Diceros bicornis minor: one gene and its partner. The protein of the gene in region 1 purifies or fractionates together with the protein of each later gene. This does not show direct contact. Links are inferred from orthologs where the notes say so. Each region holds a gene or a part of one and is shown in the gene's direction. Other genes may lie near its edges.

Region 1 (7,707 bases):
CATTTAGCATATGCTTTTGAGATGCGTCCATGTTGTCTCATGTCTCTGTAATTTATTCCACCTTTCAGTAGTTTGTTCCTTTTTATAACGGAATAGTTTACCATTGTATGGATGTACCACAATTTTTTATCTATTTGGCAGCTGATGGACATTTGAGGTATTTCTAGTTTTTTGTTATTATGAATAAAGGTGCCTTACACATTTGCATACAGGTCTTTGTATGAACATGTGTTTTTATTTCTCTTGGGTAAATACCTATGAGTGGGATGATTGTATGATAAATTTATGTTTCATTCTATAAGAAACTGCCAAACTGTTTTCCAAAGGGACTGTACAATTTTGCATTCCCCCTAGCAATGTATGATGAGTGCTAATTTTAATGCAGTCTCCTTTGCAACCCAAGTGAATTTCTCCATTGACCCTCCCCTATCATACCCCAGGAAGCGTGCCATATTGGTGATAATGATATTTTATTTTTAAAATATGAAACTTGGGGCTGGCCTGGTGGTGTAGTGGTTAAGTTTGTGCACTCTGCTTTGGTGGCCCCGGGGTTCGAGGGTTTGGATCCTGGGCGTGGACCTACGCACTGCTTATCATGGCATGCTGTGGCAGGCGTCCCACATATAAAGTGGAGGAAGATGGGCATGGATGTTAACCCAGGGCCAATCTTCCTCAGCAAAAGAGGAGGATTGGCAACAGATGTTAGCTCAAGGCTAATCTTCCTCGGCAAAAAAAAAAAAAAAACATTTACTGATGTATAGTATACATACAGAAGAGGACACACATCACATGTATATGACTTTATAAATTTTCACAAAGTAAACACCTATATAACTACCACCTAGATCATGAAATAGACTGCTACCAGCATCCTAGAAGCCCACCTCATGTGCCCACTCCTACTCACTCCCTTTCTTTCTCAAAACTAACTACATAACTCTTCTGGCTTTTAATAACACAGATTAATTTTGCTGATTTTGAACCAAATAAAAATGGAATGATACCGAATGTATTCATTTTGTGTCTGGCTTTTGCTACACATTCTGTTTGGACAAGATCACCCACATTGTTCACATAGCAGTAGACCATTTGTTTTTGTGTTCTATAATACTACAATTTATCCATCTTACTATTGATGGACATTTGGGTTGTTTCCAGTTGGGAACTAGTAAAAATAAATGCTGCTCTGGCCTTCTTCATAATAGCCCCAAACTGGAAAGATTCCAAATGTCCAACGATAAAAGGGAATGGATAATCAAATTGTAGTATATTCATATGATGAAATACTACTCAGCAATAAAAAGACCAAATCACTGATATATGTAACATCATGGATAAATCTCAAAAACATTATTTCAATTGAAACAAGCCATACACTAAAGAATACATAAAGTAGGGGCCGGCCTGGTGGCACAGCAGTTAAGCGTGCACGCTCCGCTTGGGCGGCCCCGGGTTCGCAGGTTCGGATCCCCAGCGCACACAGACGCACCGCTTGTCAAGCCAGGCTGTGGCGGCGTCCCATATAAAGTAGAGGAAGATGGGCACGGATGGTAGCTCGGGGCCAATCCCTCAGCAAAAAATGAGGAGGATTGGCATCGGATGTTAGCTCAGGGCTGATCTTCCTCACAAAACAAAACAAAAAAATGGTAGAAAGGAGCACAGCTCAAGGAAACTTTCTGGGGTTATGATGAAAATGTTCTATATTCTTGGTTTGGGTGGTGGTTACGTGCATGTATACAAGTGTCAAAATTCATTGACTTGAGCACTTACTATCTGTGCATTCTATTGTATGTCAATTATAACTTGATAAAAATGAATACAGAAAAATGCTGCTTAGTCCTAAAAAATGCTATTATGTACACTCCTATACTTGGTTTTTGGAACACATGTGTATGCATATTTGTTGAGTAGATAGTTAGGAGTAGAATTGCTAGGTCATAGAATATGTATGAATCACAGCTCTGCAACTTAATAGGCGTATGACATTGGACAAGTACCCAGAACCTCTAGAGAACACCATCTTCCTTATCTGTTACCCATGAGCTAATCTCACCTTAATGGGCATGAACCATGAAAACTATTTTTGTCAATTAACAAAAGGACATAATGCTGAGAAACCTTATTCTCTAAAATCACAGATTTTCAGAAAATTGGCTATTTGAAATATCAGTAAGAATGGAATATTCCACTCTTGCCTGGAGGATCTGAGCTACTTTGACACAGAGAAGCAGCCTCAATTTCCAACCCAGGTGCAGAGCTTCAGACAAGGGGTTTCCAGATACAATATTCCACATTTCTCTTCACATTGTAGTTTCCAAGGAAACAGGATCCTGAGTCCTCTTGTTAGCTCAGGCCTGATGATAATCCCTTTACACATAGCCTGGTGTGCTTTGAGGTTATCAAAACCACTGCTTCTTTTAAATTTCACCTACACTCCCATCATTTCCTCAAATTCTGGAATAACTCTATGTCTTCTTATGCTTAGTGAGATGCCCATGATTCCTCCGGTGTGCAGTCTCCCTTGCAGCATTAAGTTAATAAGTCTAACTTTGTTAGACCATAGGTGGTCTTTATCACGTGGGCTATATCTTGGGGATTACTATTAACATTTGTAAAATGTGTTCACATTGCCTGTATAGGCAGTTAAGAAATAGTAGTAATTTTATGTTATTCATGTATCAATTCAATAAATGTTCATTTGATATCTAGTATTTGCAAGGCACAGATTATTGCTATGAGAGACGCACAGATGGAAAACCATTTTTTATTTCAGATGGAAAAAGAAAACAATAACAATAATCACTATATCTTCAGTTCCTGGGAGAAAAATACCTTTACTGAACTTTGCTTTAAATAGTCAAATGTAAATGAAAACATTCTCAAGACTATTTTAAATTTATTTATTTATTTTTTCCCCCAAAGCCCCAGTAGATAGTTGTATGTCACAGCTGCACAACCTTCTTAGTTGCTGTATATGGGACATGGCCTCAGCATGGCCGGAGAAGCGGTGCCTCGGTGCATGCCCGGGATCTGAACCCAGGCCGCCAGCAGCAGAGCGCGCGCACTCAACCACTAGGCCACGGGCCAGCCCTCTCAAGACTATTTTATGGGTAAAAAAAGTACTACAATTTACATGATTTGCCATAAGATTTGCCATAAAACTATGGATTCTAAGAAACGGTAGGGTTTTCATAACCAGAATGAGAGCCCCCAAATGTCATCTGTCCCTTTCTATAAAGAAGTACTCTTGGGGCCAGCCTGATGGCATAGCAGTTAAGTTCACATGCTCTGCTTTGGTGGCCCAGGGTTCGCAGGCCCAGATCCGGGCACGGACCGATGCACTGCTTGTCAAGCCATGCTCTGGTGGTGTCCCATATAAAGTAGAGGACGATGGGCACGGATGTTAGCCCAGGGCCAATCTTCCTCAGCAAAAAGAGGAGGATTGGCAACAGATGTTAGCTCAGGGCTAATCTTCCTCACCAAAAAAAAAAAAAAGAAGTACTCTTGTAAATGTTCCAACAAAAAATAGAGATAGGCTTGCTTACAAAAACTCTAAGCCTGAATGTAGGCTCATTCACCCATTTGGCTTCCTCTCTTTGCCATTCCCCAGAGATTGCAAAGCAAGCTGGGCTGGGGTGGAGTGGAGAACACAGGAAACCAACATGGCCAGTTCCCCTTCACTTCTCCCTGTCTTGATTTCCTCCCAAACCAAAATCCTACCCACGTCTTTCCATTTACCATCAGCTCACAAAATGCAGTCTTCTATAAGAACATGAGGTTATACAGTCCAAATTACTTAAGGGAATGATTTTTAAAATTTGAGAGTCTAGTTCTCCAAAAATCCTGGTTTGGGATATAGATGAAGAGGCTATTTGGGAGAGGTTTTGATGGAGAATGAATTTGGGAATATGAGAATGTGTTTTAGGGAAGTAATGCGATGACCATGGATTTAGCTTAGTGTGTGGGTTTTGTAGTCAGATCTCAGAAAAGCAAATTAACCTCTGTGTTAAAGGGAAAATAACCGTTACTTTGTCGAGGTAGTTCAACATTTTAAAAATCGATTGTCCATTGTTTATTCTGAAGGTAAAAATATAGTTAGAACATCGTCCCTTGCTGTGAAAGAGCTTGTAAACAAGTGAATTGCAGCGAGGATTCACACACAGTACGTGCTCAAATTTTATTATTATTATTATTATCATTTTATTGTTTAGAAGAGGGGTGCAGGGAAAAATGAAAGTGGTTTGTAAACCAGAAAAGTCTCCGCAAATACTATCAAAGCCCTAGAGGATAGAAATAGAGTGAGGAATTTCAGGAGTTTGGTTACGGATCTGAGTTTCAAGGTTGTCGAATTCTCCCATATTTGGGCGTGAATTCTCAGAAAAGAACAGAATAGCATGTTAGGGCTGAGATCATCTGGTCCAATTTTATGCTAATCGAAAATTCTTGCCTCCTGTCACCGCGCCCAGGCGAGAAACACCACCGCCACCGCAGCTCATCCAATCGGAGCCCCAACTATCTGACATCATCGCCCCGCCCCTCAAGCCCAAGCTCCGGGGCGTCCAGTCTCTAAGCTACTGTGCCCCGCACCACTTCCAGCGGCGCCCGCGCAACTGAGGGGCGGGGCGGGGCGGGGCGGACGCGTGCGCGCCGCGTGGGGGCGGGACTAGTGCGCACGCAGCCTCAGCCTCTTCCCAGACCTTTTCCTTCCTGGTTTCCCCGTCAGTCTGCGGGTCCCGTCTGGCAGCTGCTTCCGGTAGGAGCCCGGTGCAGGACCAGTCGGTCTCAGCTCCTCGTCATGTCCTACGGTCCCTTAGACATGTACCGGAACCCGGGGCCCTTGGGGCCCCAACTCCGGGACTTCAACAGCATCATCCAGACGTGCAGCGGCAACATCCAGCGGATCAGCCAAGCCAGTGAGCCGGGGGACTGGGCTGAGGGGCGGGCGCCGTCCGGGGGTCAGGCCTGGGTGTGGCTGCCGGGACGCGGAGCTCGGCCGGGGCTACGGCCAAGGCCGCACCTGACGCCATCTCGGGCTCTCCATTCTGGAGGCGGCGCCTGTCATCCCCGCATCTGTCAGGCCCGGGCTCCCCGAGGGTCCCGAGCCCCAGCGGAAGCTCGAGCTATTTCCCAGGTTCTGCCCTCGTGATGTTAGGGCCAAAACTGCAGACCTGACAGCCCCAGGGTGGGAAGGGGTGTGTGTGTCACCTCGAGAGCAGTGAGTGACTTGACTTGGCGCAGTGGTCAGCCGAGTTTTTCCTGTCATCCGCCTTCCCCCCGCCCATCTCTCCTTCCTCTTTGGCTAGCTTGGATCGGGAGTTGTTTACTGATTTAGACTTTAGGTTTACATTCTGCTGAGCTTCTGGCTTCTTGGAGATCAGCAGCTTTCAATTAAAGGAAGTGGAGAGTGCTTGTGTTATGGTGACTTAATACACAGTTCTTCACGTAGTGAAATTGGAAATCAGATAACGACTTCTGTTTTAAATAAAGAGAATTCACCGAAAACATTTCAATTTACATTGTCTTTTGTAGCAAAAGATTTGCGTATATTTTTGGATTTCAAGCCAATGAGGCTTTGTTTTCCATCTCTATTGAGCTACTCTTCTGAGCAAATCTGATACATAGAGAAGCTCAGGATCTTGGCCACAATCACATAGCAAGTAAGACATGGTAGAGTTGGTGGTAGATTTCAGAATGTCCTTGCTTGTCTTAAAACTGGATCCCCACCATTGGGGTCTGAGTGAGACTGCAGCTGAATGAGTCAGATAGAGGCTGTTTCTCGTGCCTGAAAAATCAGCTCAGAGCCTTATAAACAGGAGGTCAGCAGCAACAACTTTACTTGGAAAGAATGATGATCATCATCCTTGTTGTTTATTATTGTGCTTTTGTGAGTGTGGCTGGACTCTGTTAATAGATAGAACTAGTTGGTCCTGAATTACAGTTATGTTTTATATTTTAAAGAACAATCTATCACTTTGCTTTTAAATTTAAATACATAGTGCAGAATTTGAGAGGTGAGAAGTTTCTGATGGGAAGGGTTTGAGACTGAGTGATTTGGAAGTGGAAAGAAGAATATGTAGCATGTCAAGTCCAGAAATTAAAAAAGAAATTAATGTGACCACTGGTTAGAAAGTATAGTACTTTGTGTTCCAATTTCCTTTTGTGAGGGAGCTGTAATACAAGTTAGATCAGAAAATTCTGGTTCAAGGCTAAAAGTTTCTTGTTGAGGCTAAATCTAATTTTAATGTCTATTTGTGAAATCATTCTACATATATTTGAGTATCAGGCTATGTAGTAAGTATAGGAACTGGCATGGATTCTTTCATATATTCATATTTCAACCGAAATATAAAGTTGAAAGGGATCAGTGCTATAGATGAAGTTTAAATAACATTATGTAGGTATTCAGAGGAGAGAGAGACTATTTTGAGTTGGGAGGGATCGGGGAAGGCATTATGGCATTTGAGCTAGGTCTGAAAAGATGGTGGAAAGGATTTGAACTTGTGACGGTAATGAATGGGAGAGCATTCCAGGAGGGAATAAAATGAACAAGGCATGCTAGTGGAAAGGCATGTGGTTTATATAGAAAAGTAGAGTGATTTAATTTGGCTGGAGTGGTAGACTCTAGAAAGTAGGGGAAAATGGGGTTGGAAAGGTAAGTTCGGGCCCAAACATGAAGGGCTTTATGTGCTAAACTAAGGGGATTTGGATTTAATTCTTTTAAGAATGTGTAAATTGAATTGGAAGGGAGAGACTGGAATTAGAGACAGCAGTTAGGAACTGTGAAAATTAAAAGGAAGGAGAGGATAGGAGGGATCTCTTTGATGATAGAATTGATAAGATGTAGTTGTCGACTGGGCTCAAGGGATCATTGGAGTCAACCATTAATAACATTAATAGGGGCCGGCCTGGTGGCCCAAGCGGTTGGGTGCGCACGCTCTGCTGCGGCCCGGGGTTCGCCAGCTGGGATCCCGGGCACGCACCCACGCACCGCTTGTTAAGCCATGCTGTGGCGGCGTCCCATATAAAGCAGAGGAAGATGGGCACGGATGTTAGCCCAGGGCCAGTCTTCCTCAGCAAAAAGAGGACGATTGGCATTGAATGTTAGCTCAGGGCTGGTCCTCCTCACAAAAAAAATAAATAAATAAAATAACATTAATAGCTAACATTTCAGTACATACTGTGTGCCAGGCAGTATGAAAAGTGTTTTACATGCATTATCTTACTTAATTTTATAACACCTCTGTGAAGTAATTACCAATATTATTTCCATTTGATAGGTTTGGAAACAGGCTGAGAAAGGCTAAATAATTACCTAGCTAACAAATGGCAATACCTGAATTTGAAACCAGGTCTGTCTCTTATGACCAGCAATTAGCCTTTTTTGTAATTTTTAATTAATATTACAGTTTTGTAGCAGTTAACACTTCAAGTTACCAGTGACTTTTTTTTTTTTTTAACTTTCCATAGGAAACTATGGAGAATACCTGAGGCTGTGGAACTTTCTCTTCTTATGGTGTGTCCATCTTCCTGCTAGATTGTTAGCTCCTTTGAAGCATGAGACATGACTTATTCATCTTTATATTTCTAGTACTTGTCTCAGTCCCAAGCATATGATAGATTCATTCATTCACTCACTGTTCAACAAATACTCTTTGAGTACCTGCTGTGCACTGGGGATGGAGTGATGAACAAGACAGACAAAATCCT
Region 2 (6,876 bases), on another chromosome or scaffold:
ATTTCCACCAGCAATGAGTCAAGAGTTCCTGTTGCTCCACATCCTCGACAGCATTTGGTGGTGTTGCTGTTTTGGATTTTAGCTATTCAATGGGTGTGCAGTGGTATCTCATTGTTTTAATTTGCAATTCCCTAATGACATATGATGTTAAATATCTTTTTATATGCTTATTTGCCATCTATATGTCTTCCTTGATGAGGTGTCTGTTCAGGTCTTTTGCCCATTTTAAAAGTTGGGTTGTTTGTTTTCTTATTGTTGAGTTTTAAGAGTTCTTTGCAGGGGTTGGCCTGGTGGCGCAAGTGGTTAAGTGTGTGCGCTCTGCTGTGGCAGCCCGGGGTTCGCCGGTTCGGATCCCGGGTGCACACCGACGCACCGCTTGTCAAGCCATGGTGTGGTGGCATCCCATATAAAGTGGAGGAAGATGGGCATGGATGTTAGCCCAGGGCCAGTCTTCCTTAGCAAAAGAGGAGGATTGGCAGATGTTAGCTCAGGGCCGATCTTCCTCACAAAAAGAAAAAAAAAAGTTCTTTGTGTATTTTGGGTACCAGTACTTTACCAGGCATGTGTTTTGCAAAGATTTTCTTCTAGTCTGAGGCTTATCTTTTCATTCTCTTAATAGTGTCTTTTTTTTTTTTTTTTTTTTGTGAGGAGATCAGCCCTGAGCTAACATCCGCCAATCCTCCTCTTTTTTTTTTGCTGAGGAAGACGGCCCTGGGCTAACATCTGTGCCTATCTTCCTCCACTTTATATGGGACGCCGCCACAGCATGGCTTACCAAGCAGTGCGTCGGTGCGCGCCCGGGATCCGAACCAGCGAACCCCGGGCCGCCGCAGCGGAGCGCGCGCACTTAACCGCTTGCGCCACCGGGCCGGCCCCTCTTAATAGTGTCTTTTGCACAGCAGAAGTTTTAAATTTTAATGAAGTCCAACTTGTCAATTTTTTCTTTTGTGGATCATATTTTTGATGTATCTAAAAAGTCATTGCCAAACCTAAAGATCACTTAGATTTTCTCCTATGTTATCTTCTAGGATTTTTCTCATTTTGCATTTACATTTAGGTCTATGATTCGTTTTCAGTTAACTTTTGTGAAAGGTGTAAGGTCTGTGTCTAGATTCATTTTTTTTGCATGTGGATGTCCAGTTGTTTCAGCACCATTTGTTGAAGAGACTGTCCTTTCTCCATTGTATTGCCTTTTTCCTTTGCCTCAAAAATCAGTTGACTATATTGTGTGGCTCTATTTCTGGGCTTTGTCTGTCGGTTGTCATACTGTGTGTTGCGTGGGTCTGTTTCTGGTCTTTGTCAGCTGTCATACTGTGGTGTCTGCGTGTTGTCATGATGCTGAAAGCTATGCCACTGGTATGTCTAATACCAGCAGGGTCACCCAGGGTGACAGGTTTCAGCAGAGCTTCCAGACTAAGACAGACTGGGAGGAAGGACTTGGCCACCTACTTCTGAAAAAACTGGCCATGAAAACCCTGTGAATAGTGGTGGGACATTGTTTGATATAGAGCCTGGAAGATGAGAGGATGGCACAAAAAGACCGGGTAGGGTTCCGCTCTGCTGTACACAGGGTCACTAGGAGTCGGAAATGCCTCAACAGCACTAGCAACAAAAAATTCTAGGCTCTCTATTTTGTTTCACCTTTATGCATATTTTTCTTTTTCTTTTTTTCCACCTTTACTGAATGTATATTTTTCATTCTCACCATAAAGTTATTCCTATCCAGTAGGTAGTAAAACCCTTATTTTGAAGATGAAGAAACTGTGCCTAAGAGAGGACAATTTCCCTGCGCCAGCAGTGGGCAGAAAGTCGAGTTAGAGTTTAAAACCACATCTGTCTGACTCTCTGATGCTCTACACTTTTTGCACTCCCATGCTAGGCTGGGACTTGGTCTGTCAACCGTAACCTTAGATGGTGCCCTCTAGGGCCAAAATTCTAGCATCTCCTTTCCTTAATAGTCTTTGGAATCTTGGCTTAATGCTCTTTGATTCTGAGGTTGTCTGTCACTCATGGTCCCTCTGGACCTGCAATGGGAATCTTAACTGCCTGAAGTTTAGCTGTACTTAAAAAATTCAGCCAGGTTTTTTTTTCAGTTTTTTAAAAACTTTTTGCTGAGAACTTGAGCATAATGATTTTTTCCCTGGTTCACACTGAATCCTTTTTGCTGGGAAGCTGCTTGCTTATGGGTCTGGTCACTGAGGGTCTGCTATTGTCTTTCTGAAGAGGAAGCCTGCTGGGTGGGATTGCTAAACTGAGCACAGTGCTACAAATCTCCTTGGTTAAGTTCCACCCGTATACCCATCAGGGCCTGGAACATTTGCTCTCAGAATTTACAAATATTAACTCTGTGTTCCTTCTCTGCATTCCCCAAGCCGAGCATCTCTACAATCTACTAAATTCTATTTTACTGCCAAGACTCTTTAAAAAAAAATCCTATAATCATATTTCAAACACTAAAGGATAGTCTTCTGATAAGAATATAAGGTTAATAGAGGTGAAAAAGCTTGCAGAAGACCACACAGGGAATGAAGTGGGAGAATTCAGATTCAAATTCAGATCTGGTGCAGAGACAAAGTGGGTGGTCCTTGAATCACACCAGGCTTCCCTCTGTGAGAAGGGGGACATCCTTTCAAGGCAGTGTCAGGGGGTAAAGGAGACTGTGTGGGATTCAGAAAAAGCCCCAACACAGGGGACCTCCTTAATGCAACTCGAGAGCATCATTTCATCACTGTACAATTGAAACTGAAATTTATTGTTTTAAAACAATGTACAGGTAGTCACTTATGATGCCAAACACTGTTCAAAATGCTTCACAAATATTAGCACATTTCTATGCGTTCATTAAAACATTTTCTGAAGCCAGTACCATGCAGTTATGTGCTCTATAAATAGCTAGTGTAATTCCAAAAGAGAGGATCACATCCAGTGGCTGACGACGAGCCCCTTACTGACCAAGAACATCAGGTGGGGGTAGGAGGTGTGGAAAGGATTCAAAGACCATGGACACTGTACTGTCGTTTTGTCTGTTTTCTACAAAGTTAGGAGGAGACTGGCAGAATTAATCTATGTCCCGCTCGCCTCTCACATGTCACACATCACTGGATCTCCATAGACTGTGGTTTTTTTTTTTTTTTTTTGGAGCAAAGAGAGACAACAAAGAGGGAGCTTGTGAGGTGAGCCCTGTGGGATTCGGTACTGAAGTCTCGGCCATCTCGGGGAGAGTAACTCCGGAAATAAGCCGCTTTGACGAGCCCGTTGGCCAGGTATGCTTGTCCCACGGCCAAGGGGCACAGGTAGATTCAGGCTTCAGGGCCCTTCCTGACAAGGGGCAAGGATAAATTATTTATTAAAAGCAAGGGAATAGCAATAAAATACTCCAATGATAAAGAAATGAAGATTTATAATAATTTTTAAAAACCCTTGAAGTGCTTCCCAAATCTTTTATTTTTGGAAAGGAAAACTGGCCGCGAGCTCGGTGTCAGCTCGCTGAGACCCGCTGGTCGGGGCTTGGCACGGCCGAGCCCGCGGCACTAGCCCCGGCCCGCCAGGCCTGCAGGGGACCAGAGGACGCGGTGCGGCCGCCGGCTCGGATTGGCGGAGAAATGGCAACACGCGGGCGGGGCGACCGCGAAGACGCCGGGAGGCGCCGCCCGCCTGCGGGGGGATCCCAGGTTGGCGCCCGGGCGCGCGAAGACGCGCCGCCCCGCCCCCGCGCCCGCCGGGCAGCCGCGCCGCGCTTCCATTGGCGGTCGGCGGTGACGCAGCGCGGGCTGGGGCCCGGGGGCGGGCTCGCGGGCCAGGCCCGGGCCGCGCGGCTGATGAAACCCGGCGCCGGGGCCCGCCCGCCCTCACGCTCCATTCAGTCGGCGCGGGCAGGTGTGAGCGGCCGGTCAACTGCCTGGCGGGGCACGCGGCCAGCCGGCATCCGCTAACCGCAGCTCCCACTCTCACTGCGGCTCCCCGCGCCGGGCCTGCGTCCGAGCGTCCGTCAGTCCAGCCGCGCGTGCGTCCGTCCATCCACAGTCGTGCCGGCATCCTGCCGCCCGCCGGCTCGGTGAGTGCCCGGCCCCCGCCGGCGCCAGGGCAGCTCCCCGCGTCTGGGTCACCTTGGAAGGGACCCCGGCGCTGCGTGGGGCCGTGGGAGGGCGGCGCGGGAGCGGCGAGGGTCCTGCGCCCGGGGCGCTGGCATCCTCCAGGGTGGGCGAGGGCAGGGCGGGCCCGGGGGTGTGCGCGCGGGGCTGGTGCCCATGTGGCTGTCTCCTTCACCGGAGTCCATTTTGGTTCCCTGAAGGCGCGGCGTGGTGCATGATGCAACACCGAGTGAGTAAGCGTGGGCGACCTGGCTCCTCGGTGATGCCCACCCCGCGCGCCCTGCCAGGGACCCCGGCGCCGGGACGGACGGGGTGGTCGGCGTGGACAGCGGCGGGGAGCGGGTACGGGGGCCGGCCCAGGAGGCATCCGGAGACCTTCCCTTACATGGCGCGGTGCTGAGCACCCCGCCCCGCCACGAAGTCCGCGATGTGTCATCCGCCGCGGGTGGGGAGCCCGCCCGGCGGCCGGGAGGGTGGTCCCGCGGCAGGTGGCCGGCCTGGGGACAACGCTAGCACCCCGCACCCTGCCCACGGCGCCCACTCTCTTCCCTAGACCCCGGGACGCGCCCCGCCCCGCCCACACCTCTTGTCGGGATCGCCAGGGTTTTTTCGGAGAAGTCCCCTCTGGGTGGGCTTCCTTGTGACCTGAATTGGCCTGTAAAAGCTGGATTCTTCAAGCCTTCCAGATGGTTTGGAGCGGGAGGAAGTTCTTCCGGCTTAGTAAAGACAACCTGTTCTCAGTGTGTCCCTTTCTGCGTAGTAGAAAACTTCCCAGGCCAGGCAGGTCTGGCAGTCCCTCTAAAACCTGTGTGTACACAGAGCGGCACTCGCACTGTAGTACTACCACAGCGTGCTATTTTAGTTCCTTCCCCTTTTCAGTGGGTGTGGGAACCAGTTAGGAGTTGTGTTTGACTTGTATGATTAGGATAGGCAGACATGTGCCTTCTGGAAGAGAACTATACTTCTTAATACCCACAGGCAGGCTCGGGTGTGTGGAAGTACCTGGAGTTGGGTATTATTCCAGATTTAGTTACAAGGGAGAGGGTTGGGATTTCAGTACCAGGTGTAGTTCCCTAAAAATGTGCTCTTTAAAATTTGACCATTAGAACTGTGTATGTTGGCCTCTGTCTGAATTTCCTGATTGTATTTCATTTGACCTATAATTTACTTAGGATTTCTCTTAACATTTGTTGCCCTTTATGTTCGGTTCAGATAGAAGGAAACGGTGATACATATATCCCCCTGATATTTTTAGTTGATCTCGGTGGAAATTATTATTTTTCTGTGAACACACCCTTCTGTCATTAAAACAAAAGGTCTTATTTAAGTCACACAATCAGAATAGAAATTTAGGGGGCAGAGTCAACAATGGATTAAAATAGTTTTTAAAGGTTTAGCATATTAAGATCATGTTTAATCATTATATATAAAATTTAAAAGGTGTCAAAGGAGTTTTGACTAAACCAACAGGATAAGACTAAATAGAGATCAGAAATGTACTCAGTTGTTGGATCTGGATTTGAGCCACGTGGGTGCTTGTATGTATATAATTATTTGCTTCAGAGAGAAAAAGGCTTGAAAGACAAGATTGCTGACCTCCCGAGTTTGAATACTAGGACGCGTGTTAATTATATTTGGTAGAAGTTTCCATTCTTCGATGGAATTAAATACATGTTTGTTGACAGTTTCTGTGTACTGAGTTTAGTTTCTACCAAGTAGTTTATTTCTACTAAGGCCAGTAAAAAGACCTAATTATGGGGGTTGGCGTGGTGGCGCAAGCGGTTAAGTGCGCGTCTTCTGCTTTGGCGGCCGTGCCTTCGCAGGTTCGGGCCCAGGGGCTCACTGACGCACCACTTGTCAAGCCGTGCTGTGGTGGGCCTCCCATATAAAGTGGAGGAAGATGGGCATGGATGTTAGCTCAGGGCCAACCTTCCTCAGCAAAGAAAGAGGAGGATTGGCATCAGATGTTAGCTCAGGGCTGATCTTCCTCACAAAAAAAAATTAAAAATTAAAACAATGCCCAGCATTGTTTAATTGAATTAATCCCTTTTCATTATTAACTATGTATTTGGCAGTATTGGTTTATTAATCCTAAGAAGGAATTCCAAACAGGAGTAAGTGCAGCCTTGTTATGGAGGGAAGCATTTTCCTCTGGGCCAGAGGCATCTTCTGAGATGTTCATCATTCCACCTGGCTCTTGGTCCTCACTCCAAGCAGGACCTGTGGATGGGACCCTAGTGTTTTTCTGTATGATTGACCTTTTCAGGCCTGGGGGCTCTCTATACCTCTGTCTGTTCCAGTTGAGGGCAGGTCTCATAGGATTTTGCTTTTACTCGCATAAGATTTTGCTTTTACTTTGAGTGAGGTGGGGAACCATGGAAAGCTGTCTGGTAGTTTTCAAGGATTACTTGAAACACTGTATAGAGAAAAGATGGGTGGGTGGGGAGAGGGGCAGGCATAGAAGCAGGGAGACCAACCAGTTCAGAGACTTGTAAGTAATTCTGGAATAAAACCCACCTCCAGGTTATTTCTACACAAGAGAGAGTGACCATATGTAATTTTGGTGAGAGATGATGGCAGCTTGGGCTGGGGTGGAAATGGTAGAAATGTGAGGTGGTCGAATTCTGCTCCGTCTGTAGGTTTATATACTTGCTCTATCTGTAGATTTTAGAGGTGGACCCAATAGGATTGGCCACTGGGTTCCATGTGAGGTGTGAAAGAGGTCGAATGTGATTTTAAGTAGAATGGAGTTGCCATATTAGTGAGATGGGGAAGGCTGAGGAGA

Evidence for each region. The genes of interacting proteins can lie anywhere in the genome.
Region 2: the proteins of STX12 (region 1) and SLC7A1 purify together in Homo sapiens (co-immunoprecipitation; 3 studies listed by BioGRID and IntAct, counting the BioPlex papers as one, with this or other methods). This does not show direct contact. The link is inferred for Diceros bicornis minor from reciprocal best matches to the Homo sapiens genes STX12 and SLC7A1.

Annotation. Positions count from the first base shown.
Region 1 is NC_080752.1:43,287,315-43,295,021, forward strand, and holds the start of STX12 (syntaxin-12), read left to right. Parts: upstream 1-4,706; 5' UTR 4,707-4,795; coding exon 4,796-4,913; intron 4,914-7,707. UniProt on the Homo sapiens protein: SNARE promoting fusion of transport vesicles with target membranes. Together with SNARE STX6, promotes movement of vesicles from endosomes to the cell membrane, and may therefore function in the endocytic recycling pathway.
Region 2 is NC_080748.1:12,666,091-12,672,966, reverse strand, and holds the start of SLC7A1 (high affinity cationic amino acid transporter 1), read left to right. Parts: upstream 1-3,859; 5' UTR 3,860-4,054; intron 4,055-6,876. UniProt on the Homo sapiens protein: High-affinity, low capacity permease involved in the transport of the cationic amino acids (arginine, lysine and ornithine) in non-hepatic tissues.